Linked DNA regions of Anolis sagrei. Each later gene encodes a partner of the first gene's protein in a complex. Links are inferred from orthologs where the notes say so. Each region holds a gene or a part of one and is shown in the gene's direction. Other genes may lie near its edges.

Region 1 (9,337 bases):
TATTCATGTAACACAAGCCATCAAGTATTTTTCATGAGATATAATTTTAGGTCACTCTTATAGAGTTTTTTTGCGCTGAATTCAGATCTGTGTTTATTTTTTCTTTCACATGTAGTTTTTGCGATGAGGATAATTGAATAATTAATGCATTTACACACTGAAATCATTAGAATCTAATTGACAGAAACCAAATCAAACAATACATAAAACAACTTGCATAAACATATTAAATAAACGTAATAGATCTAGCCAAGCACATTTATACTATAACAAACCACTAAAATGGTTTTATAAAAGCCTGCAGAGCCAGGGTGGGTTATCAGCTTTCAGGTGAGGGTGTATCTTTAGATGATCTAGACCCCCTCCCTCCTGACCTTTCCTTAAAAAAAACTTATAACCTGGCTGTGAGGTCAAGCTGCTGAGCAATAATTTGGAATAACTGGGAAGAGAATATTTTTAACAACCGCAATGGTTTGACCTGGACGATGTTTTAAACCAGCTAACTGTTTTAAAGTGATTGTTTTATAACGGTGTTATTGTGTTCAATTGTATCGTGATTTTAATGTATTGTATTGGCACCGTGGGTTGCCTGTTGTAAGCTGTCCTGAGTCCCTCTCTGGGCGTGAGAAGGACCGGGTATAAATGCCCGAAATAAATAAATAAATAATAGTCCTCTGCCTCTCCATAAGCTAAAGTTCATAGATGAGCTTTGTTTTCTAAAGTTTTCTAAAGGAGAGGAGGGAAGGGGCCATTTTTATTTCTTTGGGAAGGGAGTTCCAGAGGCAGAAGGCAATCATGAAGAAGGCCCCCTCTCTCGTTCCCACCAGCCGCGCTTGAGAGGGGAGTGGGACCGAGAGCAGGGCCTCCTCCGCTGACTGCAGTGCCCAAGGTGGTACAGGGAGATGTGGTATGTCAAATAGCCTGGATCCAAACCGTTTAGGGCTTTATAAGTAACTAGCTGTGCCCTGCCACGTGTTGCTGTGGCCTATAGTAAAACTTATCAAAGTTGAGGTAGATATCTGGACTATTATGAAAGAGAGGTACCTACCTATTCCTTCCCCCTTTTCCTCCCCCTTTCTCTCCTTTCTTCCTTCTCTACCTCTTTCTTTCTTTCCTTCTTTCACTACTTGGTTTCATCCTTCTCTCTTTCCTTCATTCCCTCCCCCTTTCTTCCTTTGCCTTTCTTCCCTCCCTGTTTGCTTCCTTCTTTCACTTTTTATTTCCTTTTATTTCACCATCATCATAACAATAACAATAATGCAATGCATTGCCTCTGGGACCTGACACCTCTCCCATTCCCCCTAAAAGGGTCTAATAGAAATAATAGCATAATAATAATAATAGAAATAACAACCTTTACCCGCCACGTGTTGCTGTGGCCAACCTTCCCTCTTTCTCTCCTTCTTTCCCTCTTTCCTTCCTTCCCTCCCTCCCATCTTTCCTTCTCCTCTTCCTTCTCTATCTCTTTCCTTCCTTCCCCCTTTTTCTTTCTCTTCTGGTCTCTTTTCTTCCTTCTCTATTTCCTTCTTTCCTTCCCTCCCTCTTTCTCTACATCTTCCCCCTTCCTTCACTCCCTCTTTCCTTCCTTCATTCCCTTTTTTCTTTCCTTCTCTCCTTCCTTCCTTCGTTCCCTTTTTTCTTTCCTTCTCTCCTTCCTTCCTTCCCCCTTTTTCTTTCCCTCCCTCTGTCTCTCATTTCTTCCTTCTCTACCTCTTTCCTTCCTTCCCCCTTTTTCTTTCTCTTCTGCGGCTGGGCGCCAATGCGCATGCTCAGTTGTTTTGCCATTTTGTGAGTGTGTTTGTGTTGTTTTTCATTTTGAGTAGATATGTTTGTACCTTGTGGGTTGTGTTATGGGCATGGGAATTTTGGTTAAGTTTCATTGGGGTTTTTTAGAGTTTTGCTGTCCCGTTGAACCAACCTAACAGATTTATATATATAGATAACCAGCCCTTTGTATTAGCCCGGAAGCAGACCGACAGCCAGTGGAGCTGCTGTTACATAGGAGTTGTGCGCTCCCTATACAGCACTCCAGTTAGTAAACTCTGAACCAGTTGAACTGCTGAACAATCTTCACAGGCAGCCCCATGTGGAAAACATTGCAGTCGTCTAGATAGGATGTGACTAAAGCGTGGACTACAATGGCCAGATCTGGTGCCTCAAGGTACAGGCACAGCTGGTGCACACGTTTTAATTGTGCAAAGGCGCTCCTGGCCACCGCCAACACCTGAGGCTCCCAGGAGAACCCCCAAGTTGCAAACCTGTATCTTCAGGGGGAATGTAACCTCGTCCAACACAGGCTGTAACCTTTACCCTGATATGCTTCTGACTGACCAGGAGTACCTCCAGGGCCGGCTCAACCCATTACGCAAAGTAAGCATTTGCAGTATAGTTGATCTTGACCAGGGGCGCTCTTGAGGCCTTCTTGGGGGAAAATAGACCTTGACATATGTGAGTTATAGTTACTGGGATGTATAGTTCACCTACAATCAAAGAGCATTCTGAACTCCACCAATGATGGAATTGAACCAAATATGGCACACAGAACTCCCACGATGAACAGAAAATATATATCAGTAATTGGTTGGGGGGGGGGGGCAAACTACTGTTTGCTTACTGTTGAAAATTACCTTGGGCCGCCTTTGAGTACCTCTGTCTTGACTGGGTTGAATTTCAAAATGTTTGCCCTCATTCAGTCCATTACTGATGACACGCACCAGTTTAGGACCAGGGTGACATGGAAAGGAGTACTAGAGTTGGGTGTTATCACCATAAATTTGACACCAAACTCCAAAATTTGGGATGATCTCTTCCAGTGGTTTCAAGTAAATGTTAAACAGCATGGGGGGGGGGGGCAGAATTGAACCCTGAGGGACCCCGCAGGACAATGACCACGGAGTTGAACAGGAGTCCCCCAGCTGTAGAACACTGCCCCTTAATCCCATCCCAGAGAGACGGCTCAGTAGGATACCATAGCCAATGGTATCGAAATCTGCTGAGAGGCCCAGGAGAACCAACAGGGACATACTTCCCTTGTCTAGCTCTCTTTGTCAATCATCCACCAAGGTGATCAATGCTGTCTCAGACATGATACAGACATGTCATAGAGGGCATCAAATGGCTGCCAGGTTGTAAGCCGCCCTGAGTCACCTCCAGGTTCAAGAAAGGCGGGATAGAAGTATCGTAAATAAATAAAACAAATAATGATTAGATCCACATCATGGGGAACGCAAAACCATACCGGGGAAGCAGGTGGAAATGTTATCCTCCTTGAGGCAAAGAGAAATATCTTATAAGTCTTGCTTAATTCCAAACAGCAAAACTATACAATTCAAATAAGCCCAAACTAGAGGGCTTCCAATAGATCCCACAATGGAAACATCTCACATTGCTGTGAAACTCTTTCGTTGTTTTTTTTTAAGCCCCATCTAATCTGCCTGTTAATAACATCCATTCCCTGCTGTGTTTCTAGCTGTTGATGTTTTAAAGCTTTTTTTCAGGAGTCAAAAGGGAGGGGGGAGGGTCTAAAGAAAGGGGTGACAAAAGTGTGCCTGACACTTAAACTATCAGGAAATGATGTGCAGGAGGGATGCCTTAGCCATACCTGCATCCTCCTCCCCTCCATCTTCATCTACCTTAATGACTGCCAACCAGTTCAAAGTGTAAAAAGAGACTGACCCCTTTTAAGTTGGGGGAGGGGCAGACCCAAACCAAGGGAAGGAAGGAAAGAGTTGAAAGGGGGGAAGGAAGGCAAGGGAGGGAGAGAAAAGGAAAGGCAAAGGGGAGGGGAAGGAAAGGAGGGAGAAAGAGGTCAAGAAAGGGAGAGGGAAAAGAAGGAAGAAGGAAGATGAAAGGAAAGGCAAAAGGGAGAGAAAGGAAAGGAGGGAGAAAAGGGTTAGGAAAGGGGGAGGAGAAAAAAGGAAGGAGGGGAGAAAAAGAGGAAAGGAAAGGGGGGAGAAAGAGGTCAAGAAAGGGAGAGGGAAAAGAAGGAAGAAGGGAGATGAAAGGAAAGGGAAAAGGGAGGAAGGAAGGAGGGGAGAAAAAGAGGAAAGGAAAGGGGGGGAGAAAGAGGTCAAGAAAGGGAGAGGGAAAAGAAGGAAGAAGGGAGATGAAAGGAAAGGGAAAAGGGAGGGAGGGAGGAGGGGAGAAAAAGAGGAAAGGAAAGGGGGTAGAAAGAGGTCAGGAAAGGGAGAGGGAAAAGTAGGAAGGGGGAGATGAAAGGAAAGGCAAAAGGGAGGAAGGAAGGAGGGGAGAAAAAGAGGAAAGGGGGGAGAAAGAGGTAGGGAAAGGGAGAGGGAAAAGAAGGAAGGAGGGAGATGAAAGGAAAGGCAAAAGGGAGGAAGGAAGGAGGGGAGAAAAAGAGGAAAGGGGGGAGAAAGAGGTAGGGAAAGGGAGAGGGAAAAGAAGGAAGGAGGGAGATGAAAGGAAAGGCAAAAGGGAGGGAGGAAGGAGGAGAGAAAAAGAGGAAAGGGGGGAGAAAGAGGTAGGGAAAGGGAGAGGGAAAAGAAGGAAGGAGGGAGATGAAAGGAAAGGCAAAAGGGAGAGAAAGGAAAGGAGGGAGAAAAGGGTTAGGAAAGGGGGAGGAGAAAAAAGGAAGGAGGGGAGAAAAGAGGAAAGGAAAGGGGGGAGAAAGAGGTCAAGAAAGGGAGAGGGAAAAGAAGGAAGAAGGGAGATGAAAGGAAAGGGAAAAGGGAGGAAGGAAGGAGGGGAGAAAAAGAGGAAAGGAAAGGGGGGAGAAAGAGGTCAGGAAAGGGAGAGGGAAAAGTAGGAAGGGGGAGATGAAAGGAAAGGCAAAAGGGAGGAAGGAAGGAGGGGAGAAAAAGAGGAAAGGGGGAAGAAAGAGGTAGGGAAAGGGAGAGGGAAAAGTAAGAAGGTGAGATGAAAGGAAAGGCAAAAGGGAAGAAGGGAGGAGGGGAGAAAAAGAGGAAAGGGGGGAGAAAGAGGTAGGGAAAGGGAGAGGGAAAAGAAGGAAGGGGGAGATGAAAGGAAAGGCAAAAGGGAGGAAGGGAGGAGGGAAGGAAAAAGGAAAGGAAAGGAGGGAGAAAGAGGTCAGGAAAGGGAGAGGGAAAAGCAGGAAAAAGGGAGATGAAAGGAAAGGCAAAAGGGGGATGGAAGAGGAAAGGAAAGGGGGGAAAGAGGTAGGGAAAGGGAGAGGGAAAAGAAGGAGGGAGGGAGATGACAGGAAAGGCAAAAGGAGGAAAGGAAGGAGAAAGAGTTGAGGCTGAGCTGTGCGGCAGTCCCAGGGCAGGCCAGGAGGGGGAGAAGTTGGGACAGGAAAGCGAGGGAGGGATCCTTGAAGAGGCCCGCAGCGGGAGCGGGGCTTGGCGGCACGATGGCGGAAGCTGGGGGTCTGGACGAGTGAGTGAGTGAGTGAGTGAGTGAGTGAGTGGGGGGCGGGGCAATGGGGGCTCTTTGTGGCTGGCACCTATTGAGAGAGAGAGAGAGAGAGAGAGAGAGAGAGAGAGAGGGCAGCAGGAAGCCCTGCCTGGCGTTTCCAAACAAGCCAGTTCCAACAAGTCCTCCTTGCCTAACTTTCTGTGCGGGAAGCCCCGCCCCCTTGGGCCGCTTTGGCTCAAGGCAATGGCTTCCTGGTGATATTGCTCGACCACACTGGGAGCTGTAGTTTGGCAAGCCTCCTCTCCCCAGGAGGGCAATTCAAATGTGTGGCAGGAGGGCCTCTGCTGAGCATCTCAGGGCCTGGGCATCACCTGCACTGCCCTGTCATCCAGTTGAACTGCATGATATGAGGCCACACTGCTACAGAATGCCACCCCACTGCATCACATGGCAGTGTAGATGGGGCCACAGTCTGCCAGGTTTTTTGTTTTTTTTATCGTGTCAAAAGCGACTTGAGAAACTGCAAGTCGATTCTGGTGTGAGAGAATTGGCCATCTGCAGAGACATTGCCCAGGGGATGGCCGGATGTGTTACCATCCTGGGGGAGGCTTCTCTCATGTCCCTGCATGGGAAGCTGGAGCTGACAGATGGGAGCTCACTCCATCTCACGGATTCAAACCACCAACCTTCAGGTCAGCAGTTTAGCCGACACAAGGGTTTAACCCATTGCTCCACCGTGGTTCCTAGTCTGCCAGGTAGCCTGAACCCAAGCCATATAGGGCTATAGACTTTTGATTTCCTAAAAGGCTGTTGGAAACGCAACGCAGTCCTGTTTGTGTCTTCCGCCTGATCGCTCCACTTAAAATATAAGTTTCTATTCATTAAATTGGGAAGGTGTACAAGAGCGGAGGAAAGAAGTTCCTGGGTGCAGCATTATGCACTGGCCATTTGGTAAGAGTCTTGGTCCATGTGTTACAACACAAACATTAGTGGTACAGTGGCTAATAATAATAATAATTATTATTATTATTATTATATACTATGTAACAAAATTTGAAAAAAAATCTGTTCCTGGTTTGAGAGTGTTATTTCCTGTTTAATTGTGCAGTACAAGCTGGAATGTGTTCAGAGGAGGGGGACTAAAAGGATCAAGGGTCTGGAGAACAAGACCTATGAGGAGTGGCTTAAAGAACTGGGCATGTTTAGCCTGCAGAAGAGAAGGCTGAGAGGAGACATGACAAGGGCCAGGGCTGTAGCCAAGGGGGAGGGGGTTTAGGGGTTCAAATGGCTATATCTCTAAGGGCAGTCTTTCTTTGCGGCCAATATTGCGTCCACAAGGAACCATCCAGCGGAGCAGTTTCAAGTAGTCAGAGGGTTGTTAAATCCCATCTCCCAAGACGGGATCCCTGACAACTTTGCAGCTCACTGTGAAGCATTTGCTCGGTTCTTTGCGGACCAAGTTGCTCTGATCCACTCCAGCTTGGACACCATGTTAACGGCAATGTCTGAGGATGTAACACAAGCACCTGCTTGTCTGGTTTTGATGGCTTCATTTCAATTGGTGCAGCTCAAGGATGTGGATAAGATACTAGGAGAGGTGAGAGCAACCACATGCATCCTTGACCCCTGTCCATCCTGGCTGGTAAAGGAGGCCAGATGGGGCTTGGCAGAGTTGGTGAAGGTGGTGGTTAATGTCTCCTTACAGGTAGGTAAGATTCCAGCCAGCTTAAAACAAGCTGTAATAAAACCGCTGTTGAAGAAACCATCACTGGGCCCCACTCAATTCCTCAACTTTCAGCCAGCTTCCAATCTCCCCCTTTTAGGCAAAGTCCTGGAATGTGTGGTGGCCTCACAACTCCAGGTGTTCTTGGAAGACATGGATTATGTAGATCCAGTGCAGTCTGTTATCTAGATCCAGTGCAGCCTGGCTTTAGGCAAGGTCATGGAACTGAAACAGCCATGGTTGCCTTAGTGGATGATCTATGCCAGAAACTAGACAGGGGGAGTGTGTCCCTGTTGGTTCTGCTGGACCTTTCAGTGGCCTTTGATAACATAGACCACAGTATCCTTCTGGGACGCCTCGTGGGAATGGGTCTTGGAGGTACTGTTCTGCAGTTGCTCCGGTCCTTCCTGGAGGGCCGTTCCCAGAAGGTCTTTTTGGGGGACACCTGTTCATCCCCACAGCCATTGTCCTGTGGGGTCCCGTAGGGCTCAATACTGTCTCCCAAGTTGTTTAACATCTACATGAAGTCGTTGGGGGAGATCGTCCGGAGTTTTGGAGTTTTATTTCATCTGTACGCAGATGACGTTCAACTCTATCACTCCTTTCCACCTGCTACTAAGGAGGCTGTTCAGGTCCTGAACCAGTGCTTGGCAACTGTGATGGTCTGGAAGAGGGCAAAGAAATTGAAATTGAATCCAGACAAGTCAGAAGTACTCCTGGTCAGTTGTAAGGCTGAACATGACATAGAGTTACAGCCTGTGTTGGATAGTGTTACACTCCCCCTGAAGGTGCAGATTCACAGTTTTGGGAGTTCTCTTGGACTCATTGTTGAGCCTGGAACTCCAGGTTTCAGTAGTGGCCAGGGGAACATTTGCACAATTAAAACTTATGCACCAGTTGCCTCTGTATCTTGGGAAGTTAGACTTGGCCATGGTAGTCCATACTCTTGTTACATCCCGTATAGACTGTTGCAATATGCTCTATGTGGGGTTGCCTTTGAAGACTGTTCGGAAGCTTCAACTGTTCGGAAGCTTCGGAAGCTTCAAGTGGTCCAATGTGCAGCAGCCAGATTGCTCACTGGAGAGGCATACAGGGAGCGCACCACCCCCCTATTACATCAGCTCTACTGGCTGCCAGTCTGCTACTAAACACAATTTAAAGTACTAGCTTTAGCCTATATAGCCCTAAATGGTTCCAGCCCAGCTTACCTGTCCAAACACATCTCCCCCTATAAATCTCAGAGTTTAAGATCATCTGGGGAGGCCCTGCTCTCAATCCTTCCAGGCGCAATTGGCGGGGACAAAAGACAGGGCCTTCTCGGTGGTGGCCCCTCAGCTGTGGAATTCCCTCCCCAGGGATATTAGATCAGCTTCCTCTCTCCTGACCTTCCATAAGAGAGTGTAAATGTGGCTCTGTGACCAAGCGTTTGGAGAACTTGTGCAATAGATAGATATGGAATGATGTGCAATGACTATTGGAATGGCCTGGATTATGCTTGAGGATTATGTGATTGATTGTGAAGATATTGTCTTAAATGTTTTTAATTGTTTTAATGTATTTTATAATTCTACTAGCCGTCCCCTGCCATGCATTGCTATGTCCCAGTCTGGTGATTATAGAATTATAGAATCATAGAGTTGGAAGAGACCTCATGGGCCAGTCCAACCCCCTGCCAAGAAGCAGGAAAACTGCATTCAAATCACCCCTGACAGATGGCCATCCAGACTCTGTTTAAAAGCTTCCAAAGAAGGAGACTCCACTACACTCCGGGGCAGAGAGTTTCACTGCTGAACAGTTCTCACAGTCAGGAAGTTCTTCCTCGTGTTCAGATGGAATCTCCTTTCTACTAAAGATCAATAGAGGCAGATGGACCTCAAGGAGGGCGGTCTGTAAATCTCTGGCCTAATTCTATCAAAGAGACCACCAGAAGTCAGAGTGAAGGCCATAACATGGTTCCATAGAGACTATCAATCATGTGATCGCTCTACTTGTCTTCTAATTACACCTGAAGACAATTCGTGGCTCAGCGAGCTGTTAGCAATTCGATCTTGCTTAAAAGAATGGGGCATTACCATCAGAAAGGTGTTTGTGGATCCCTATGTTCGCCCCCTTGTTGACACAGTGGAACTTCTCACCATGTTCCATCTGCCTTAGCTAGCAGATGTGGTCTCCAATTCGGCTCTGGTCTCCCAGCACTTGATTGTGCCATGTTCCATCTGGTTCCAGTGATAAATCCACAAATAACTCACCGGTTAGGACCCCCACATCTGCACAGTATCA
Region 2 (10,261 bases), on another chromosome or scaffold:
GAGCACTCTGAACTCCACCAACAATGAACCTGGAACTAACTTGGCACATAGAGTCCCCATGACCAAACAAAAAATACTGGAGGTCTTTGGAGGGAATCTATAGAAGTTGTAGTTCACCTACATCCAAAGCACACTATGAACCCAAACAATGATGGATTTGGACCAAACTTAGTACACAGAACCCCTATGACTAACTCAACCTACTGGAGGGATTTGAGGGGAATGATTCACCATAGTGGGAGTTGTAGTTTACCCTACAGCCAAAGAGTACACTGAACCCCACCAATGATGCATCCAGAGCAAAACTGCCCAACATAACTTTAAGTACTGATAGAGTGTTTTTGGGTTAACCTGGCATGATTTAAGTTGTAGTTCACCCACAACCTTATGTATTTTGTGTAATTTAAAATTTGACCTTTTCAAATAATCCGGACAATGCTAGGTACCCAAGCTAGTAGAATTTAAAAATAAGGCAAATGCAAACACATATGAATATAATATAATATAATATAATATAATATAATATTATATATATATATATATATATATATATATATATATATATATATATATAATTTAATATTTGTATCATGAGCGTAAAACTTAAAATATTACATTATAATTCTGTGATGTTGGGTTGGTCCAGAAATGAAGCAAGACATCAAAGGCAAAGGAAACCACACTCTTTACTTCCTGTATGCATAAAAATCTAGTGTATGAACAATCAGATCACAGGATCCTACCTAAACAGAGCTTCTTTGTCAAACACTGTGTCTGCAGGCATATTCACTGGGATGAGAAGATCTGGGTGAGAATCCAAATGGACAAAGCTGATGTTGCAGGCAGGAAGGTGCTTCGAACCAATGCCTCGGTAAATGAAAGGAAGAACCTAAAATAACAATGATACACAAGCATTTAAATCGAGGCAAAGACAGATTATAGAGAGCTGGGCCAAAAATCAACCAAACATTCCAACAGGAAGAATTGTATAGTACTATGCTTATGCAGAAAAAAACACCTGGCTTTACAACAGTACATGTAAAAAAGATATTGGAGTCTTAGTAGACCACAAGCTGAATATGAGGCAATAGTGTGAAGAAGCAGCAGCTTAAAAAGCCAATGCAATTCTAGGCTGCATCAATAGGAGCATAGTGTCGAAATTTGGGGGAAGCCATGTTGCCTCTGATCATACCTCGCCTAAAATACTGTGTGCAGTTTTGGGCATCAAAAAGGATATTGACAAGCTAGAATGTGTCCAGAGAAGTGTGATCAAAATAGCAAAAGGTCTGGAAGCCGAGCACCATTTGGAGTGACTTATACAGAGTTGGATATATTTAGCCTGGAGAAGGAAAGGTTAAGGGATGACATAACAACCAAGTCTAAATATTTGAAAAGGTGTCATGTTGAAGTTAGAGCCAGCTTATATTTCAGTGTCCCAGATATGAAGCAATGCATTCAAACTGAAAGAGATTCCACCTAAATATTAGGAAGAGCTGTTAGTGGAATATATTGCTTCAGAGTGTGGTAGACTCTCCTCTTCTGGAGGTTTTTGAACAAGACGCTGGGTGGCCATCTGTTGGGACTGCTTTGATTGGGTGTGTCTACATAGATGTTGGAATGGATGGCTCTTGGTGTCTCTTCCAACTCTATGATTCTATGATAAACTGTTATTGAGAAAGAGGGAGTCAATTGAGAAGAGCAACCGGCCACCAGCTCAACATGACAGTGAGATAGTGAATTCACTTCAGGCATTAAACTAACCTTTAAGGCAACTATCCAATGTGCTGAACCTTGCATAAAATATATTAAGTCACTTGGAGAGCCCCATTAAAACTAGCTGAAACCTCAAGTGGGTTTGCCACCTTGCAGACATGTGAGCTACCCACCACCACAAGAGGTAACTCAGCGTGCATTTTTACAGCCCAGTCTGTGTATATGTGTTTTGTGTGTGTGTATATGTGTATATGTATGTGTTTGCATATATGTGTGTGTGTGTGTGCATATATATATGGTTTTGCGCATGCGTTGTAATGTTGTTGTTTTTTGGCATTTTAAGTCTCTTCTGCTGTGTTTTTCAGTGTTTTTAATTAGTGATGGTCACTCATTGGCCTGATAGGTGTATTGTGTCCAAATTTGGTGTCAATTCGTCCAGTGGTTTTTGAGTTATGTTAATCCCACAAATGAACATTACATTTTTATTTATATAGATCAACCCAGTTTGACACCATTTTAACTGCCATGTATCATTTCAAATGGTCTTTGGTTGGAGTCCTGGTGCCTCACAATCTACAGGATTCCATAGCATTGTGCCATGGCAGTTAAAATGGTGTCAAACTGGAATAACTACGCAGTGTAAATGCACCCTAGGAATTCTTAGGGCCCTTTCGCACAACCATATAACCCAGAATATCAAAGCAGAAAATCCCACAATGTCTGCTTTGAACTGGGTTATCTGAGTCCACAGTGCCACATATTCCAGTTCAAATAAAAAAATGTGGGATTTTATCCAGGTATGTGGAAGGGGCCTTACTATAACCTTACTGCAGCCTATTCCTACACATTGTTACACATAAAGAGCAACTCCCAATAAAAAAGTTGCTGAATGCCACCAATGTCCACAAATTTGTTAGCAACAACGTGAAGTATTTACACTGGATTTTGTAGGAGATGGATTCAAAGGGCCCTGCCCTAAAGTTCCAATGAATGGTTGAAAATGTCAAAACTTTTTTTTTAATTCCCAAAAAACAGTAGATGTATGAATATTTCTGAAAGTTGTGGGGAACCATCACCTATTATCTTGTGTCATTGTACAGAAAATTCAAGCAGATTGCTCTTGTGGTTTTTTTAAGTTGTTTATAAAAACTTTGAAAATTCCCCAAAAATCCATAGATGAGTGAAACCTTCTGAAATTTGGTGAGCTAACAGTGCCAAATATGTTCTGCCACGGCAGCACGTTTCATTCCATTAGCTTTAAAAATGAGGGAGATAGGAGCCCATGAACTTTCTCCAATTTGAGTAATTACATGCAATTACAGTAACGGAAAAGAAATGAAATTCCGTTACTCACGTTATAGTAACGATTTTTCCCCAGTAAGAATACTTTGGAAACACTTTAGAAACGAAATGCCAGTTTTGTAATGACTTTTGAGCCATTTTTTTTAATGGATCGCACATCCCTAATTAAATAATAGTTGACACCACTGTTATGGCTCAACACTATGGAATCCTGGGATTTGCTACTTCATCACACTAGAGAAAGAATAATAACAACACTTTATTTATATTCCGCCCTTCTCACTCCGAAGGGGACTCATGGCGGATCACAGCACACATACATGGCAAATATTCAATACACAAACAGACAGAACAGAAAGGAGGTGTTATCGACTCAGTGTCCAGCTGTTTTTGGTGCCAAGAAAAGTGAGTCCAACCACAGGGGGTGCTGTTGCTCCATTTGCTATGACAAAGAGCTGTCAGAACTTCCTCCTTCCTCTTTGGTTGCCCAGCATTTTCTAATATTCTTTCCTTATGGCACCGTAAAACACCTCCCCCACTTTTAGCAGTACCTAATTTCTCTAATTACACCGAAAGCTGTTTCTGAACTGCTTAGGTAAACAGTGAGCTAGGCTGACAGTCGACCGCTCACACCGACCTGAGGCTTTGAACTTGCAACCTTTGGGTTAACAGATCTTATAGTTGCTGGTGATTTACCAGCTGTGCTAAGCCGCCTGGGTGATAGTATGATAGCTGGATCCGGAAGCTCCGAGCATTACGGAGATGCCACAAAGGTGAGTGTGAATAAGGGAAGGGGGGGGCAGGAGTGAGAATGGGGAGAGAGAAGTAAGGATAGAAAGGAGGGGATGCTTTGGGTAAGGTTTAGGACAAGGTTTAGGGTTTGGGTTAGGGTTATAGTAAGGTTAGAGGTTTCAGTTAGGGTATGGTTTAGGGTTAGGGTAAGGTTTTGGGTTTGCGTAAGGATTAGAGTAAGGGCTTAGACTTATGCTGCTGTTAGGGTTTCACCATTAAAGAACTTGGTGATAGTATGATAGCTGGGTCTGGAAGCTCCCAGCATTACGGAGATGCCACAAAGACGGGTGGGGAAAAGGGAAGAGAGGGGGTGGAGTGAGAGCAGGGAGAGCGAAGGAAGGATAGAAAGGAGGGGACGCTTAGGGTAAGGGTTAGAGCAGGGTTTGGGGTTTGGGTTAGCGTAAGGGTTAGGATAAGGGTTAGGATAAGGCTTAGGGTTATGGTAAGGGTTTGGATAAGGGGTTAGGCTAAGGCTTACGGTATGGTTCAGGGTTAGGGTTTGGGTAAGGTTTAGCGTAAGAGGTTAGGCTTAGGGTTTGGGTAAGAGGTTAGGCTTAGTCTTACGGTATGGTTCAGGGTTTGGGTAAGGGTTAGGGCAAGGGGTTAGGGTTAGGTTAAGAGTTTAGGCTTAGGCTTATGATATGGTTCAGGGTTAGGGTAAGGGGTTTGGGTTAGGGTAATGGTTTAGGCTTATGGTATGGTTCAGAGTTAGGGTTTGGGCTTAGACTTCCGGTACGGTTCAGAGTTAGAGTTTCACCATTAAAGAACTCTTACATTCCTTCTATATTATCTGCCTCCGGCCTGGCTTACATTAGCTAAGTCTTTCTTGCGCAAACAGCGCTCCTGAAGGAGCGATGCGGCATCTTGCACGGAGCTTCCAGACCCAGCTATCTTACTATTACCACCTCTGGTGGCACAGTGGGTTAAACCCCTGTGCCGGCTGGACTGAAGACCTACAGGTTGTAGATTCGAATCAGGGGAGAGTGTGGATGAGCTCCCTCTATCAGCTCCAGCTTCTCATGTGGCGACATGAGAGAAGCCTCTGACAAGGATGGTAAAACATCAAAAACATCCGGGCGTCCCTTGAGCAACGTCCTTGCAGACAGCCAATTCTCCCACACTAGAGATTTTCAAGCAAAATTCTCAAGCTGCATCATTTTATATTAATTAAATCATAAACACCATAATTAAACAAAGAATAGAACTTTGGACACATGTATAAAATCATGCAGTTTCTCAAGTCACTCCTGATACGACAAAATAAACAAACAAACAAACAAATAAATAATAAGCAACCACCTCCTGCCCAATGAATCCCCTCTAAATCCGGTTTCTGCCTCCTGCAGAATTCTGGGGTTTGTAGTTTAGTGATGCTGTTAAAGAGTCCTCCCTAAACTACAAATCCCAGAATTCTTCAGGAGTCAGGAGGAGGTAGCAACCAGATTTAAAGTGGAATCATTCTCTAGTGTGATGAGATCCTAACAGTGAGGTATCATAGCATTCTTTTGGGAAACAGTAGCTTGTCAAGTGACAACCATCTCCATGGCAGCTGAAGCGGTGTGGATGCCCCCTGAGTCACTGCTGAAGTCAGAAGTGGGGTCAAAGGGCCCTCATTCCGCTTGCAGTAAGCAGTCGCGCAGTGCTTACGTCGTGATGGTCCTCCACCACCCAGACCGGCAGCGCTGTGTAGAGCCTCCGCGAGCTCCCCGCCCCGCCTTCTTCCTCCTCCTCGCCGCTCATCTCGAACGCTCGAAGACCCAAAACCGAACGCTGCGGCCGGTAACGTTCCAAGGCCCGGGCGCCGGCAGCCTTCCGGGGGGAAGCCTCTCGAGGTGACACAGGCGGCAGGCATGGTGGGAAAGCGAGGAGGAGGAGGAGCAGGAGGCGGAGCCATGGACCTCAAGCCGCCGGAGGGAAGAGGGAAGAGGCCAACAAAGGGCGCCGATGCCGCTTCCCTCCCTTTGCAAGAGGCACAAACACAGGGCTGCCCAAGGCGTCTTCCCCTCTGATGTCTTCCTCCGGCCCTTTCCTCTTCCGGGGCTCTCCCGCCCTTTCCCCCCTCCGCCAGCCCGGATTCTAGGTAAGCTTCTTCCTCCAGATCTCTGCTGTAGACTGCACGCAGCTTGGCTCCATGCTGTCCTGGGGTTTGCCGTCCACACTCTTGCCAAACCCAATTCTGCATGGCTGCATTCATTCTACAAAGGCAGAGCTCCTTTGCTGTGGATGCCTTCCTCCCCGGGCCCTTCCACACTGCTGTGGAGCCCAGATTATCAAGGCAGACAATCCCACAATATCTGCTTTGAACTGAGTCCACACTGCCATATAGAGCTGCGTGGAAAGGGCCTATGATTATAAAATCCGAGATGATGTCCCCTTCCCTTCCTCCAGCACTCTTTGGCAGGAAAGACTCTAAAGAACTTGCAAAACTACAACTCCCAGGATCCCTCCTTATTCCCATAACATTGAGGCCCCTTCTGCACTGCTATATTATCCAGATTACCAAATTGGATAATCCACATTATCCTCTTTGAACTGGATTATATGACTTCACATTTTTATTCATCTTGTCAGGAGCAGACCGAACAGTTGCGGTGCCTTTTTTAACAAACAAACAAACTAACAAATAGACAGACAAAACACAAAGTTTGCAAGCTTGGTAGTTGATTAAATGTCCTTTGACCAGTATCTGGCCACTTGGAGTGCCTCTGGCGTTGCCGCAAGGAGGTCCTCCATTGTGCATGTGGCTGGGCTCAGGTTGCATTGCAGCAGGTGGTCAGTGGTTTGCTCTTCTCCACACTCGCATGTCGTGGATTCCACTTTGTAGCCCCATTTCTTAAGATTGGCTCTGCATCTCGTGGTGCCAGAGCGCAGTCTGTTCAGCGCCTTCCAAGTCGCCCAGTTTTCTGTGTGCCCAGGTGGGAGTCTCTCATTTGGTATCAGCCATTGATTGAGGTTCTGGGTTTGAGCCTGCCACTTTTGGACTCTCGCTTGCTGAGGTGTTCCACCGAGTGTCTCTGTAGATCTTAGAAAACTATTTCTTGATTTAAGTCGTTGACTTGCTGGCTGATACCCAAACAAGGGATGAGCTGGAGATTTATTATTTATTTATTTACTTTGCTTATATACCGCTGTATCTCAAGCCCGAAGGCGACTCACGGCGGTTCACAAACAGTAAAAACAGTAGAAACAGCAGTGGTTCCATACAGCATATAACAATTGACTTAACACATTATCCATAAATTACCAATAAGCAATTACAATGCACAATTATTACAAAAAACAACCGTACCCAATCTTCTCATCATCCAAGCGTAGTCCAGGTTCGTCGTCCATTGTTCCATTCCTATGTTCCATTACCAGATTGCACTAAATTACTCAAACGCCTGCACAAACATCCAGGTCTTCACCTTTTTGCCTCTGCCTTGGTCCTTTCACTATTGGCTGCTACTTCCTGGCGGATGTCAGGTGGTGCAATACCAGCTAAACAGTGTAATTTCTCCAGTGGTGTAGGGCGCAGACACTCTGTGATAATGCTGGTAGGCTGTTAGGAATGGTGGGAGTTGAAGTTGAAAACACCTGAAGAGCCAAAGTTTGCCCATGCCTGCTATAGAGCTTTTACAAAACCCTTGGCCTTCTCTGGCAAAGAGTGTTGATGTTCCAGTAAACAACAACTCCCACAACACAGCCATAATAAATTCTTGTTCTCTTGGCTTTTAGGTCTGTTCCTGGAGTTATAGGGTTCAGAAAATTGGATTGGGTAGACTGCATAAGCTCCGGTTTCTTAGATATGATTTTCTGTGGGTGAACAGATGGCGACTGGTGGGTGATGATAAGAGAAAACTGGTGCCATTTTTTGGAACTAGAAGATCAAATATACGCAGAAACAGGGCTAACATTCAAGGCACCAAAATGTTGGCCAGCGAAGCATTGAGATGTGTCAGTTAAAAGTGGTGCCAGAGTGCATTAATTCTACTGTGTAGATCAGTGGTTCCCAACCATTTTTTTTGACCAAGGACCACATTGACCAGGGACCACTTTCCAATATTAGTACCAAAAGGGTTAGGAATTGGTTGTTGGTCAACTTTACATTTGGTTTAGTTATTTGGGGTGCTGAAAATTGCATTGGATAGAGCACAGCAGCTCTAGCTTCTGATACAGAAAGTTTGCCATCCAGTAGTCGCCATCTGCTCAACCACAGAAAACCATATTTCATAAGCTGGTGTGGTAGTACTAATCTTTCATGGGTAGTCAGCCTCTCCCCTCCTGACAGCCTTGTTGCCTTGGCATGATAAGAGGGTTTTGAGAGACCAGTCGCTCTCGTTTGCCGCATGTTTTCGAAGCAATGGTGTAGTCATGGTGATGCCACAGACCATATTTTCGTTCTTGGGGACCACTGGTGGTCCACGGACCACAGGTTGGGAACCGCTGATATAGTGGGCCCAAGTATCCTAAATGTGCCAGATCCTGTCTGATCTTGGAAGCTTAACAGCCCTGGTTAGCACTTTGAACAGAGATTTCCAATGAATACCAAGTTCTGTAGGCTATATTTCAGAGAAAGGATCACTTAAAACCTGTGAGTATTGCCTGAGGAAACTCCATGAAATTCATATAGTTGCCATTGTTAGGGACTTACACACTTAAGAGAAGCTGATAACTAAAATATTGTTATTATTTTACTGACACAAAAACATAGTATATTACAGCAAACGAGATCTATATGCTGGATTTCATATCACAAAATCACAAGTTGAACACTTCCCAAGCATCTAGGACTGTGTGGTGTATTTTCAAATGATTTGTGGAGATCCAAGCAAGGTGGCCTTTTGGAGTTGACAGATCATGATTTTGCCAATGTTTATTGTTTCCAAATGCTGGCTGAGATCTTTTGGCATGGCACGCAGTGCACCAATGACCACTGGGACCACCTGTACTGGTTTATGCCAGAGCCTTTGCAGTTCGATTTTGAGATCCTGATAACGGCTGAGTTTTTCCTGTTGTTTTTCCTCAATGTGACTGTCACCTGGTATGGCGACATCAATAATCCAATTTTTTTCTTTTCCACAATCGTGATGTCTGGTGTATTGTGTTCGAAAACTTTGTCAGTCTGGATTTGAAACTCCCACAGTATTTCTGTATGTTCATTTTCTACAACCTTTGCTGGTAGGTTGTACTTGTGACGTAAATTCCAGTGAATTATTTGGGCGACAGAGTTGTGCCTTTGTTTGTAGTCCGTCTGTGTGATTTTCTTGCAACAGCTGAGGCTATGTTGTTGCAATTATTGTTATTATTATTGCTAATACCAATCAGTTCATGTTTATGTTTATGTTTTTTGCTGTTGTGGTTCCTTAGCAATTGAACAGATTGGAAGAAAAAAAAGTTGGTACACTCTCTAGTCAAAATAAGAAGTGATATGATCTGATTTAACCCCATTTTCAGGATTATTTCTTTCTTTCTTTCCGAGCTAAACCCATTTTCAGGATGTCTTTCTTTCTTTCTTTCTTGGAAGGTGAACGTCCAACGAGTTAGGACCATCCCTCTAGACAAGAACTGTTGTTTTATTTGCTCTGAGATTTTATTTTTCACTTTTAGCGAGACTTGTGTTTCCTGTTTGAATGTATCTCCAAGAAAAAGGCCTGATCTTGCACGAAGAACCCTTCCTTTCAACATGAAAGATTTTTTTATATCTTGTAGTGCATTGGGGTTCTCACTGGGATCAGAAACATTGCAAGGGTTCTTATTTTAGCTGGACACAGTCAGTGTCATGATCCCCAAATGGAAGTACTGTCACAAGAAAAGAATCAAAGTCACAAAGGAATCCAGAAGCACCTTTGAGACTATCAAAACCGCCTGAAGAAGCCATTTCAAGTATAGCTTTTGTGGATACAGTCCGTTTTTGTCAGATACATTTGATGAAGTAGGCAGTGTTCACAGTAAGAGATATTAGAAATGTCTTCTTTTCCATTAGTCTCAAATACGCTATTGGATTCTTTTGTATCTTTTAATCCTAAAGCAGATTAACGTAGCTATCTTTTTGAAGAGAAAAGAATGGCTACCCTAAGGCCATCTAAGTGAGTTGGTGGCTCCACGGAGATTGTCGAGCGGAAAAAAAATCCATAAGGCTCATGAATGTAGTGGTGGTGGGGAGATGTACAGTATTGAATACTCTTAGTAATGCAATGCTTGTATTATAGCGGAACAACTTTGTTCGCTCACATTGGGCATTTTATAAAAGTTTTTCAACACTCATTTCTGAGGCCTGCCTTCCTTTTTATGTTCTCTGAGTGCCTTTTTTCCAGCACCACTTTAAGACATCCCTCTTTTTAAAAAATCAATTTATTTGATTCCAATCACTTCCCTGTGCATGTGATTTGAAGTGGAGCTTTTTCTGACTCTTGTTCTTAGAAACTAAGTACCTGAATCAAGTTTTTAAAATCTGGAAGGTGATTACCAAAGG
Region 3 (10,234 bases), on another chromosome or scaffold:
CGAACGTGGAATGTTGCTGCTGATTTTTAATTAGCAATCTGGGCAACTGTTTAGAGTCAAGGGAGGGGAGCAGTGGCTTGTTTGACGCAGGTCAGCAAAGCACTTTAAGTGCATGCGTAACCTTCACTTCCAGAGTAAGAAAGAAAACACTTGCTACCTCACCCACCCTCAGAAGAACTAGCCACAACTTTCTTCTCTATCTTGGAGCTGAAGAGGGGGTTACGGCTCTATCTACGCAGCATTCTGAAATTCTGTGAGATTACAGGGACAAGCTCTGCCCCCTGCATCGCAAGCTAGGGAACAAAAGTAAGCAAACTGTAACTTGCTAGCATTAGCTTAACTAACATAGTCCATGATGAGGAAAGCTGAGAGTTACACTCTAACAACATCTTGATAGGCACACTTGGCCTATGCAGATACAGAGGAATATTGGACTTTGTCTCATTATTACACCATGGCAAGTCTGGAAAGCCGACATGTGGGGCAACTGTTTACTTAAATTTGAAATGGAATGAAAAACAGTTCAGAGTATTAACTCTAAAGTGTTAAACATCCAGCATTCATAATTAGAAATAAACTCTGTTTGCATTCAGAAGCTACAGTAGAAAACCCGCCCACTAACACATGTAGGTCATTTCCCTCCAGATCTGAATAGACATAAATCAGGTCTGAAAATATACCTTCTAAATGCTGCACACAGAATGTGATGAACTTGCACCAAGGTCTGATGGAATAACTCTGTTTTCCATTTTTTGGAGACATATAAAGCAGCTGAAAAGTCCAGGACAATGCCTAATTGGGTGTTTCTGAAAACCTGAGATGCTTGAGTGACCCGTGGTGGAACACACATTATTTACATTCTATTCCACTGATACAGTCTATGTAAGACTGTTCTGAAACCTCACCTGATCCCAATTCTTCCACCCATTTGTGATGAGTGCCACATACAGGGCATATGTTTTAAACTGCTTTACTTTAATTGTTCCACAAGCATATCTCTAGCAGACTAATAATTGCAATCAATGAGCTTCATTCTTTCTTCACTAACCATTTTTATTGATATACATGGTCTTGATTTTTTACATTTTCAGTGTAAAAAAGGATTGCATGAATGCATAGTTTTTATTCTGTAAATTATTTCAAAAATATAGCAGCCGAAACTGCGTGATGCAATTTTAATTTCTTAAAATTGAACCACTATAATTGTGAAATATACGTAAATAAGCTTTTCTGCACAACACGGAACTATTAACAAAGCACCTGATATCTCAGAATAAGTTGTAAAAATAACTTAACTAATAAAATGCTATTTGTTATTTGGAACTGCCAAGTTGTTGCAGACACTAAAATCCAAGAAATGTAACACTATTTTATTTATTTTACATTTTTCTGTGATCATTACTTCCAAATATTCATGGTGGTTCACCTTCAAGGCTTTTGCATAGAAAGATTGGGGAATCCATCCCCCAACCCTAGAATGCTGTTGATCTCCACTTTCCATCAACTCCCAGGGAGACTGGCTAATAGTTGATGTAAAGTATAGTTAATCAGGATCTCCAGGGTCACATGTTCCTTACACTACATATATGGAACAATTATAGCAATTCTTGTGTTTCTGCTTTATGCACAACTATATTCAAGGTTACAAGTTGGCAAATTATGACAATATAGGACTATTGTACTACCCTAAGAGCTAAGCATAAACTTTTCCACCTCACTTGAGAAATTATTTCCCCAGTAAATCTAACCTCCCCGTTTATAAGAAATCATGGACATTTGTTTCAGACCAATATACTGTTAAAATCCACATTAGTTAACAGAACTTGCTTCCAAATTCACCTATAGGATTACAGCCATTGTCTTTTAGTATGTGGTCTACCTTAATAGCTTTGCATAAATGCAGTTTGGAAGCAAAATTATCTGGGGTTTTTTATTACAAACAAATGAAATCCCAGTGCATGTGGGATTATATTAATGAATAAAATAAATATATGGGGAAAAGAAACTCTGACCCTACTGGATAGCTTTCTTTAAACCCAAAATTTCTTGCATATTATCTCTACAAAACACCAAGTGCATCAATCTACACAGGAGCTTGCAGTAGGCCTAGGAGAAGGTGGCTGGCAATCTGAGATCCACCAGATTTGTTCACTTGGAAGAACCTACAACTGGACTCCTCTATGTCAACCTGAAGCTGTTCTAAATATCTGCCACACACTGGAATCAGTGATAAATATGTAAAACACACATAAAGGAGACACAGACATTCTTCCCATTCCATCCAATGTGTACCTGCAGGGCTTTGGAAGCAGTGACAGGTGCACCACTTTACAGACATCACCAACATGATTTAGATTTGCACTGTTAGTTCTATACAAAAATGATAAAATTTTATGATAGTTAAGGAATAAACAATTGGAAAATGTTTTAAAATCAGCAATACTGAAACATTCTCATTTTTCTCCAGTCAGTTAAGAAATATTTTGACAGGGATTAGAATGTGTATTGGATGCAAGGTGTTTGTGTGTGCATGGAGTACATGGTTTGGAAATAATCTGCCCTGTATGTTTTAGAAAACAAGATTAACTGTATTTCTTTTGGAAAAACCAGAGATATAGAACCAGCTTTTTATTTAGCCAGTCAGAAAAAATAAGGTCATCCAAGCAAGTAAGTAACTGCCTCTGTAGCTCATAGATACATCAAGAATGCTGGGAAGTTTGTGATCTATGATTTATGCAGGCCTGGTGGTAGACATTATGGATATCAGAGTGAGAGAGAGAAAACTTCGCACACTGCTATAATCAGCATAATTTCCACATTGCATGTTACTTTTTACCCATTAGTATATATATTATAATAATCTACAGTGCTCCCTTGAGTGTTCTCATTCTGCTACAATCCCATATTTCCCTAGAAGCTTCACTGACCTCAATGAGACCCATTTCAGAGTACATATATATAGACTGAAGTATATACAGGCAGTCTCCAAGTTACAAACAAGATAGGTTATGTAGGCTTGTTCTTAAGTTGAATTTGTAAGTTGGAACAGGTGCATTTTTAAATATAACACCTGCCAAAAATACATCTATATTAGCTTATGATAGCATAGGGAAGGGTTAACACCATTGTGGTGTATGCTTTGCTATCTGTTTTGAAAAGATTTTACTCAGAAAGTGCTTACTGCCATACAGAAGTAATCCTAGGTAATCCCACATCACTCAAGATTTTCTTTTTAAGGAACCAGAGCTTTTGTCACATCTTACGCCTCAAATAATTGAACCCAATCAGAATTATGCAATATAGATCAGAGCTAACTGGAATGTGCAGTTTTCTCTCTCCTGGTAGACTTTCAGAGCATCTGTTCAATTCCTTATCCTTAAGATCTCCTACTTGTTTCCTTACTCCTTTTAAGAAGCCTACTCCTACTCCTTTTTACAAGAGTGTATTTCCCATCCACTGAAACTTTATCCACTAGGGATGCATCTAGACTGCAGAATTAATGCAATTCGACTTCACTTTAACTGTCATGGTTCGATGCTATTGAGTCCTGGGAGTTCTAGTATCTCAAGGTCTTTGCCTTGCGGAACTACATTTCCCAGGATTCCATAGCATGGCAGTTCACAGAATCATAGAGCTAGAAGTCCACAAGAGCCATGCAATCCAACTCCTTGACATGCAGGAATACACAATCAAAGCTGTCCCTATGGACAGCCACCCAAGATCTGCTTAGAAACCTCCAGAGTTGGAGATTCCATCACATTCTGAGGCCACTTCTACATCTAAAATCCAGATTATCCGCTTTGAACTGGAGTATATGGCACTACAGACTCATAGAATACAGTTCAAAACAGATAATGTGGATTATTTACTTTGATAATCTGGATGATATGGCAGTGTAGCAGGGGCCTGAGGCACATAAAGAGCTGTTCATATTCCTGTTGAACAGCGCTTACTGTCAGGAAGTTCTTCTGAATGTTCACATGGAATCTTTTTTCCTATAACTTGAATCCATTGTTTCTCCTAGGCCTCAGAGCTGAATTTTCATTTATTTATTTCTATCTTGCCTTTCTCCACCCCGGAGGGGACTCAAGGCGGCTTTCACTTAGGCAACTATTCAATGCCTTCAAAGGCAATGTACAAATAAAATAAACCTTTAAAATAGAATTATATGATACATTAAAACATATAAAACAATACCTTCACTGTTAACCACGTTATTTATCACGTCAGAAGGTAACTGAAGACATAATTATAATGTATTTAAAACCACAAAGGAAGTTTAAAAACTTGGCATTATTCTAAATGTCCTTTGAACAGGAGCTGTTCATTTGGAGTGCCTCTGGTGTTGCTATGGGAAGGTCCTTTGCTGTGCATACGGCAGGGCTCAGGTTGCATTGTAGTTGGTGGTCTGTGGCTGCAGCATACAACCAAACCACTGAATAAAATATCACATTATCTGCTTTGAATTGTAATATATGTCAATGTGGGCTCAGATAACCCAGGTCAAAGAAGATATTGTGGGATTTTCTGCCTTGATATTGTGGGTTATATGACTGTGTGGAAGGGCCCCTAGTCTCCAGAGCAGCAGAAAACACGTTTGCCATTTCCTCAATGTGACATCCTTTCACTTATGAAACATGGTTGTCATGTCCCCTCTCAGCCTTCCTCTCTCCAGATAAACATCCCTAGTTCCCTCACCTGCTTCTCAAAGAGCTTTGTCTCAGATCATTTCAGTCATCTTCTCCAAGCTGAACATAGTATCAAAGTGCGCTGATTCGACAGCATAGAACAGGTATGGACAAACTTGGCCCCTCCAGATGTTTTGGACTTCAACTCCCACAATTCCTAACAGCCCCAGTACTTTTCCTTTTCCCCCTCAGCTGCTTAAGGTACACTTGATCTTAAACAAAGGCTGAGGGGTGATCATAACCTACCAACACATACATTAGCCACAGGATGGGATATTAAAGCCAGCAAATTGTCTGAATTGCACATAATAGGTTTTTAGCACAATAAAGGTAAATGTAGCTGCAGAAGGTATTCCAGTAAAGTAATAGTAAGGTCAGTTTTCTGAGTGTCAAGCCATAACTGGTTCAAATGGGAGCTTGGCTGAATAGCCTGGCCCTCCACCATTTGTATTTAAGGTTTAGGGGTGAAGTATCTTTTATGGGTCCAATTAGTGCATCATATTCTCCTAGTGCTGTCATCCAGAGTGGGATCAGTGTCACATTTGGTAGTGACTTGTCTCCCAGTTAGATCTATAGCACTACCCCCCCCCCCCAAGCAGGTTCATGAGACCCTCCAGATTGTTCAGGTGGGATTGATTGATTTGATCGTTTTAACTAGTAATAACTGTTGATGTTAAATTGTAAATTGTACTTTGTGAATTGTTGGGCATCGAATTGTGCCTTTTCTAAGCCGCCCTGAGTCCCCCCTAGGGGGTTGAGAAGGGCGGAGTAGAAGCACTCCAAATAAATAAATAGGAATTTAACAGAGATCTTTCTAATTCTGTACATGTCCCAGTTTTTGGCAAAAGCATCAGTACAGCCCTCATTATGCCTAAAACGCTGAAGCAGCTGAAGAGGAAAAAGAAAGGGCCTGAGACTGTTAGGAATTGAAGTCCAAAACATCTGGAGAGCCCAAGTTTGCCCATGCCTGGTGAAGAAGCACTCCTTTCTTAACACTCTGATGTGAAAAGGGAGAACAGAGCAGTGAGAGAAGGCCTGCTTACCTCGGAAAAGTTTACGGCTAGCGGGATGATGCCTGCCACATAGCAGCCCACCAGCATCGCTAGAGACAGCAGGCTGATCGACAAGAAGTCGTCCATGGCCGGCTCCTCTTACGTTACAGTTTCCCAGGGAATTCCAGAAAGGGAAGAGGCCTCATGGGCCCGAAACACCCGGGGTGGGCGGCAGGAAAGCGGGCAGCACTCTGCTTCGAGGCTGGGGGCCCTTCTCTAACGGAGGGCGGGCGAGAAGAGGCACGGGCGAGAAGAGGAAGCTCGCCAAGGCCCTCACACAACCTTCCTGAGGAGGAGAAGGGAGGAAGTGCCTCAGGTTCAGGCCCCGGGCCCTCACCACCTGCCCCTCACTGTCCCACCGCCGCCACTGCGAGTGGAGTCCTCCTCCTCCGCCTCAGAAGCGGCCATCAAGGGCCAAGTGGCAGCTTCTCCCTCACTTCCTCTTCCCTTCCTTAACTTCCGGAACACTTGGCAGTGAAAGAGAGGCGTACGAGCGAGCAGGCCTCGCTGGATTCGCTCCTTTCTTTCCCGCCCAATTTTAAGATGGCGGCGAAGCGAACGAAGGTCAACGCCGCCCCGCCCACCGCTAGCCATTCCTAAGGCGGGCCTCGACTACACTACTCCGGCGCCCTGACCAAAGATGGCCGCTTTCGTCTCCCGCGCGAGGAAAAGTCAACGCAGAAGTGAGATCTCGCGAGGCTGGCGCTGTTGACGCTCTACCTCCTGCGGCTCTCCTCAGAAAACGGTGGCACCTCTATGGTTCTCGTGCGGGATTTGGAGTCTACAGTCAGTTTCCGGCGGCCGCGGAGCATTGTGGTTGAGAAGTCGTTAGGAGTTTGCTTCGCGCCCGAGCCGAACAGAAAAGAATCGCCATGGTGAGTTCAGAGAGGGGGTTTTGAGCGGCGAAGAGACTCGGAATTGACTGAAGGAGGCGGAGGCTTTTCGCTTGGTGCCTCGCAGTTCACTTGAGAAGGCTTCGGGCCTAAAGGCGAGGAGGCAATGGCGAGGGGCGAGGGTCGGTCTCTACAAAGCCTATTATGCGTGGCCTCTGAGAAACAGCGAAGCCCTCCCTCCTCGCCCTCCCAAGACTTCCCTAAGTCGACCTTAGCGAGACAGAGTGCATCCACACTGGAGAATTAATTCAGTTTCACGCCACTTTGACTTCCATGGCGCCATGCTATGGAATCCTGAGAGGTAGCAGTTTCGTGAGGTGCCAGCACCGTTTGGTAGAGGACGCTAAGGACCGTGTAGAGCAGGCAAGGGCAAACTCTGGCCCTCCACGTGTTTTGGACTCCAACTCCCATCATTCCTAACAGCCTCAGGCCCCTTCCTTTTCCCCCTCAGCCGCTTAAGGGACACAATTCGTAGAATAGAATCAAACAGTTGGAAGAGACCTCATGGGCCATCCAGTCCAACCCCCTGCCAAGAAGCAGGAAAATTGCGTTCAAAGCACCCCTGACAGATGGCCATCTAGCCTCTGTTTAAAAGCTTCCAAAGGAGGAGCTTCCATCACACTCCGGGGCAGAGAGTTCCACTGCTGAACGGCTCTCACAGTCAGGAAGTTCTTCCTAATGTTCAGATGGAATCTCCTTTCTTGTAGTTTGAAGCCATTGCTCCGCATCCTAGTCTCCAGGGCAGCTGAAAACAAGCCTCCTTATGATTTCCTCTCACGTATTTATGTATGGCTATCATGTCTCCTCTCAGCCTTCTCTTCTTCAGGCTAAACATGCCCAGCTCTTTAAGCCACCCCTCATAGGGCTTGTTCTCCAGACCCTTGATCACTTTAGTCACCCTCCTCTGGACACATTCCAACATGTCAATTGTGGTGCCCAGAATTATTTATTTATTTATTTACTGCACTTGTAGACCGCCGTTCTCAGCCCTGGAGCGACTCACGGCGGTGTAATTGGACACAATATTCCAGATGTGATCTAACAAAGGCAGAATAGAGGGGCAGCATTACTTCCCTAGATCTAGACACTATACTCCTATTGATGCAGGCCAAAATCCCATTGGCTTTCTTTGCCGGTGCATCACATTGTTGACTCATGTTTAACTTCTTGTCCACGAGGACCCCAAGACCTTTTTCACACGTACTGCTCCCAAGCCATGCGTCCCCCATTCTGTATCTTTACATTTCCTTTTTTCTGCCTAAGTGGAGTATCTTGCATTTGTCACTGTTGAACTTCATTTTGTTAGTTTGGCCCATCTCTCTAATCTGTTAAGATCATTTTGAATTCTGCTCCTGTCTTCTGGAGTATTGGCTATCCTTCCCAAATTGGTGTCGTCTGCAAATAGAATAGATGGTGAAGTTGAGATTTTATGGACCGTAATTTGGACTGATGTGGAGGATGTTTTAAACCCGGTAAACTGTTTTTAATGTATATTTAAAATCATTTAATGCAATTGTGTATTTTATTGCTGTTTTTATATTGTATTAACATCGAATTGTTGCCTGCTGGTAGCCGCTCTGAGTCCCTCCTCGGAGGTCGAGAATAGGACGGAATATAAATGTTCTAAATAAATAAATTCGAATTGTGTATGAATGAAACTTGGGAGCATCCATGGATTTTGTTGTCTACAGGCATCCTGAGACCAAACATAATGGGCCATGCTATTGTAGTCTAAAGCTGTAGGTTCTCTTATGTAAAACCATGCTAGTAAATTGTATATTTTGTAAAAATTTATCTTAAAAAGCATTTCACACACTCCAAATGAGAAAGATTTCTTTAAGAGGTCTTTTTGCTGGACTCTGAAAAAGAACCCACTCACAAATTATTATTTTTTTATTCAGTGTATTTCTTCTAGTAAAATATATGCTTGATTATTTTCCTTAGAGACAGAACTTGTTAAAATTAGTAATAGGTATATCCATAATTTAAAAGCAATGTATTGAACCAAATATATTATATATATCAGGATTTCACCTGTGTACCCATAATAGATGTGTAGTTGGGCTACTGTTATATGTGCAATTAACTGAGAGTAAGCCTCATTTTTTGACCTTTTACTTTGTGAACATAGCTGTTCCACATAGTCTACTACTTACTAACTGGCATGCTGTACTGATCAGAAACTTTCAATGAATGACCAAAGCAGTCCCATGTTCCCACGTAGAAAGCTTGCAATCATCCTAATATTTAAAAATAATTTCATTTGGCAAGCTGCTAGCAGTTGGCACTTCAATAAATAGCTTGTCTGCTTAACATTCTAGTTGTCAAGAGTATTTTTCCAAATCTTCATTTTTAAATATATATCACATTTCTTTCATTCTAAGATGCACTTTTCTCTCTTTTAAATACCTCTAAAAGGGGGGTTCACATTAGAATCATGCATATATATATATAAAGCTTTGTTGTTGGTGGTACTGAAATTAGTGTGAAATTGCATCTTATTTTCTGCATGTGGCCATAACATACATTCAGTTAAATTCTATTCTCTATCATGAAATTTTCCCATTGTGCAATACATCCTTAAAAACAAACCTATTTTACGTAGAAAATTAAAATAGGACAGGGCGGGGGAAATAGCCATTGTTCTTCAGTGTTTGCATTATTTTTGTATGATTAGTACACTTCAGCATTTGATGTAAATAACATGCTTTATTCTGGTACATTCAGAAGTCTAAATAAATGTTGTGTTTGCTTTTGTACAGTCTCACACAATTTTGCTTGTTCAGCCTACCAAACGACCAGAAGGCAGAACTTACGCTGATTATGAATCTGTGAATGAGTGCATGGAAGGTAATATTCCTGCTGTAGATTACTTGATGCTAAATCAATGTTAAAAGTTGGGGATTCCTTTTAAACCTGGCCAGTTAAGCCAATAACTGAAGAAGCAATTATTGGCTCTTGCGTGGTTGTGTGTTTTATTTTGGAGATGTCGCAATGACTCCTCTGACTGAATCAGATCTTTTTGAATCTAGTGTATCTAGGATGCAGTATGCTACTTTGCTTGAAAATAAGGATTTTTCTATTAGAGCCAGATATCATGTGTCAATTTTTACCCAATCAGAAGATATGAGAAAGTTTATAATTTTAATAAGAATAATAAATTGATACATGGAGGTGCTAACACTGTTAAAGTATTTGGTCAAGTCTAGTGCCACAGAGAGGAAAAACACTTTGAAAGCCAAAGTTAAAATCTTCAGATTCAATTTGTACTTCAGTGTTTGAATTTTTTTACTTCTGCAGAATAATTTATTTGTAAATTTATCTACATGAAAGCTTAATTTGCTAACATTCAATTGATCAGATGTCATTTGCTTGGATGTGCACTGATTCTCTTTTCTTATATTTGACATCTAGATTTTCAGTAGCAGTGTGGGGTTTCATGAATGCCTCTTGTAGATACTGGATATTCTTTTTTCTTAGGAGTTTGCAAAATGTATGAAGAACATTTGAAGAGAATGAATCCAAACAGCCCTTCAATCACATATGATATTAGCCAATTATTTGATTTTATTGATGATTTGGCTGACCTCAGCTGCCTTGT

What was found.
Region 2: the proteins of DGCR8 (region 1) and DROSHA are in contact, whole or in part, in a crystal structure (PDB 5B16), measured with the Homo sapiens proteins. The link is inferred for Anolis sagrei from reciprocal best matches to the Homo sapiens genes DGCR8 and DROSHA. Residues at the interface, in NP_073557.3 of Homo sapiens: Asn728, Ile731, Leu732, Lys734, Leu735, Gln736, Glu738, Met739, Lys740, Leu742, Ala743, Arg746, Arg750; in NP_001369437.1 of Homo sapiens: Leu984, Leu987, Phe988, Thr998, Tyr999, Thr1001, Ala1002, Ile1003, Gln1005, His1008, Phe1069, Asp1073, Leu1074, Glu1076, Val1077, Trp1078, Asn1080, Pro1082.
Region 3: the proteins of DGCR8 (region 1) and ERH are in contact, whole or in part, in a crystal structure (PDB 7CNC), measured with the Homo sapiens proteins. The link is inferred for Anolis sagrei from reciprocal best matches to the Homo sapiens genes DGCR8 and ERH. Residues at the interface, in NP_073557.3 of Homo sapiens: Lys107, Phe108, Ser109, Pro110, Asp111, Leu112, Leu114, Leu115; in NP_004441.1 of Homo sapiens: Val8, Pro10, Thr11, Thr18, Tyr19, Ala20, Glu27, Lys34, Met35, His39, Arg42, Met43, Phe60, Leu64.

The regions. Positions count from the first base shown.
Region 1 is NC_090034.1:35,703,151-35,712,487, forward strand, and holds the start of DGCR8 (microprocessor complex subunit DGCR8), read left to right. Parts: upstream 1-5,250; 5' UTR 5,251-5,355; intron 5,356-9,337.
Region 2 is NC_090024.1:91,653,330-91,663,590, forward strand, and holds the start of DROSHA (ribonuclease 3), read left to right. Parts: upstream 1-5,690; 5' UTR 5,691-5,887; intron 5,888-10,261. Other genes in the region: C4H5orf22 (UPF0489 protein C5orf22 homolog), read right to left, coding at 744-889, 5,455-5,547. UniProt on the Homo sapiens protein: Ribonuclease III double-stranded (ds) RNA-specific endoribonuclease that is involved in the initial step of microRNA (miRNA) biogenesis.
Region 3 is NC_090021.1:283,409,524-283,419,757, reverse strand, and holds the start of ERH (enhancer of rudimentary homolog), read left to right. Parts: upstream 1-6,508; 5' UTR 6,509-6,612; coding exon 6,613-6,615; intron 6,616-9,395; coding exon 9,396-9,483; intron 9,484-10,113; coding exon 10,114-10,234. Other genes in the region: SLC39A9 (zinc transporter ZIP9), read right to left, coding at 5,732-5,827. UniProt on the Homo sapiens protein: May have a role in the cell cycle.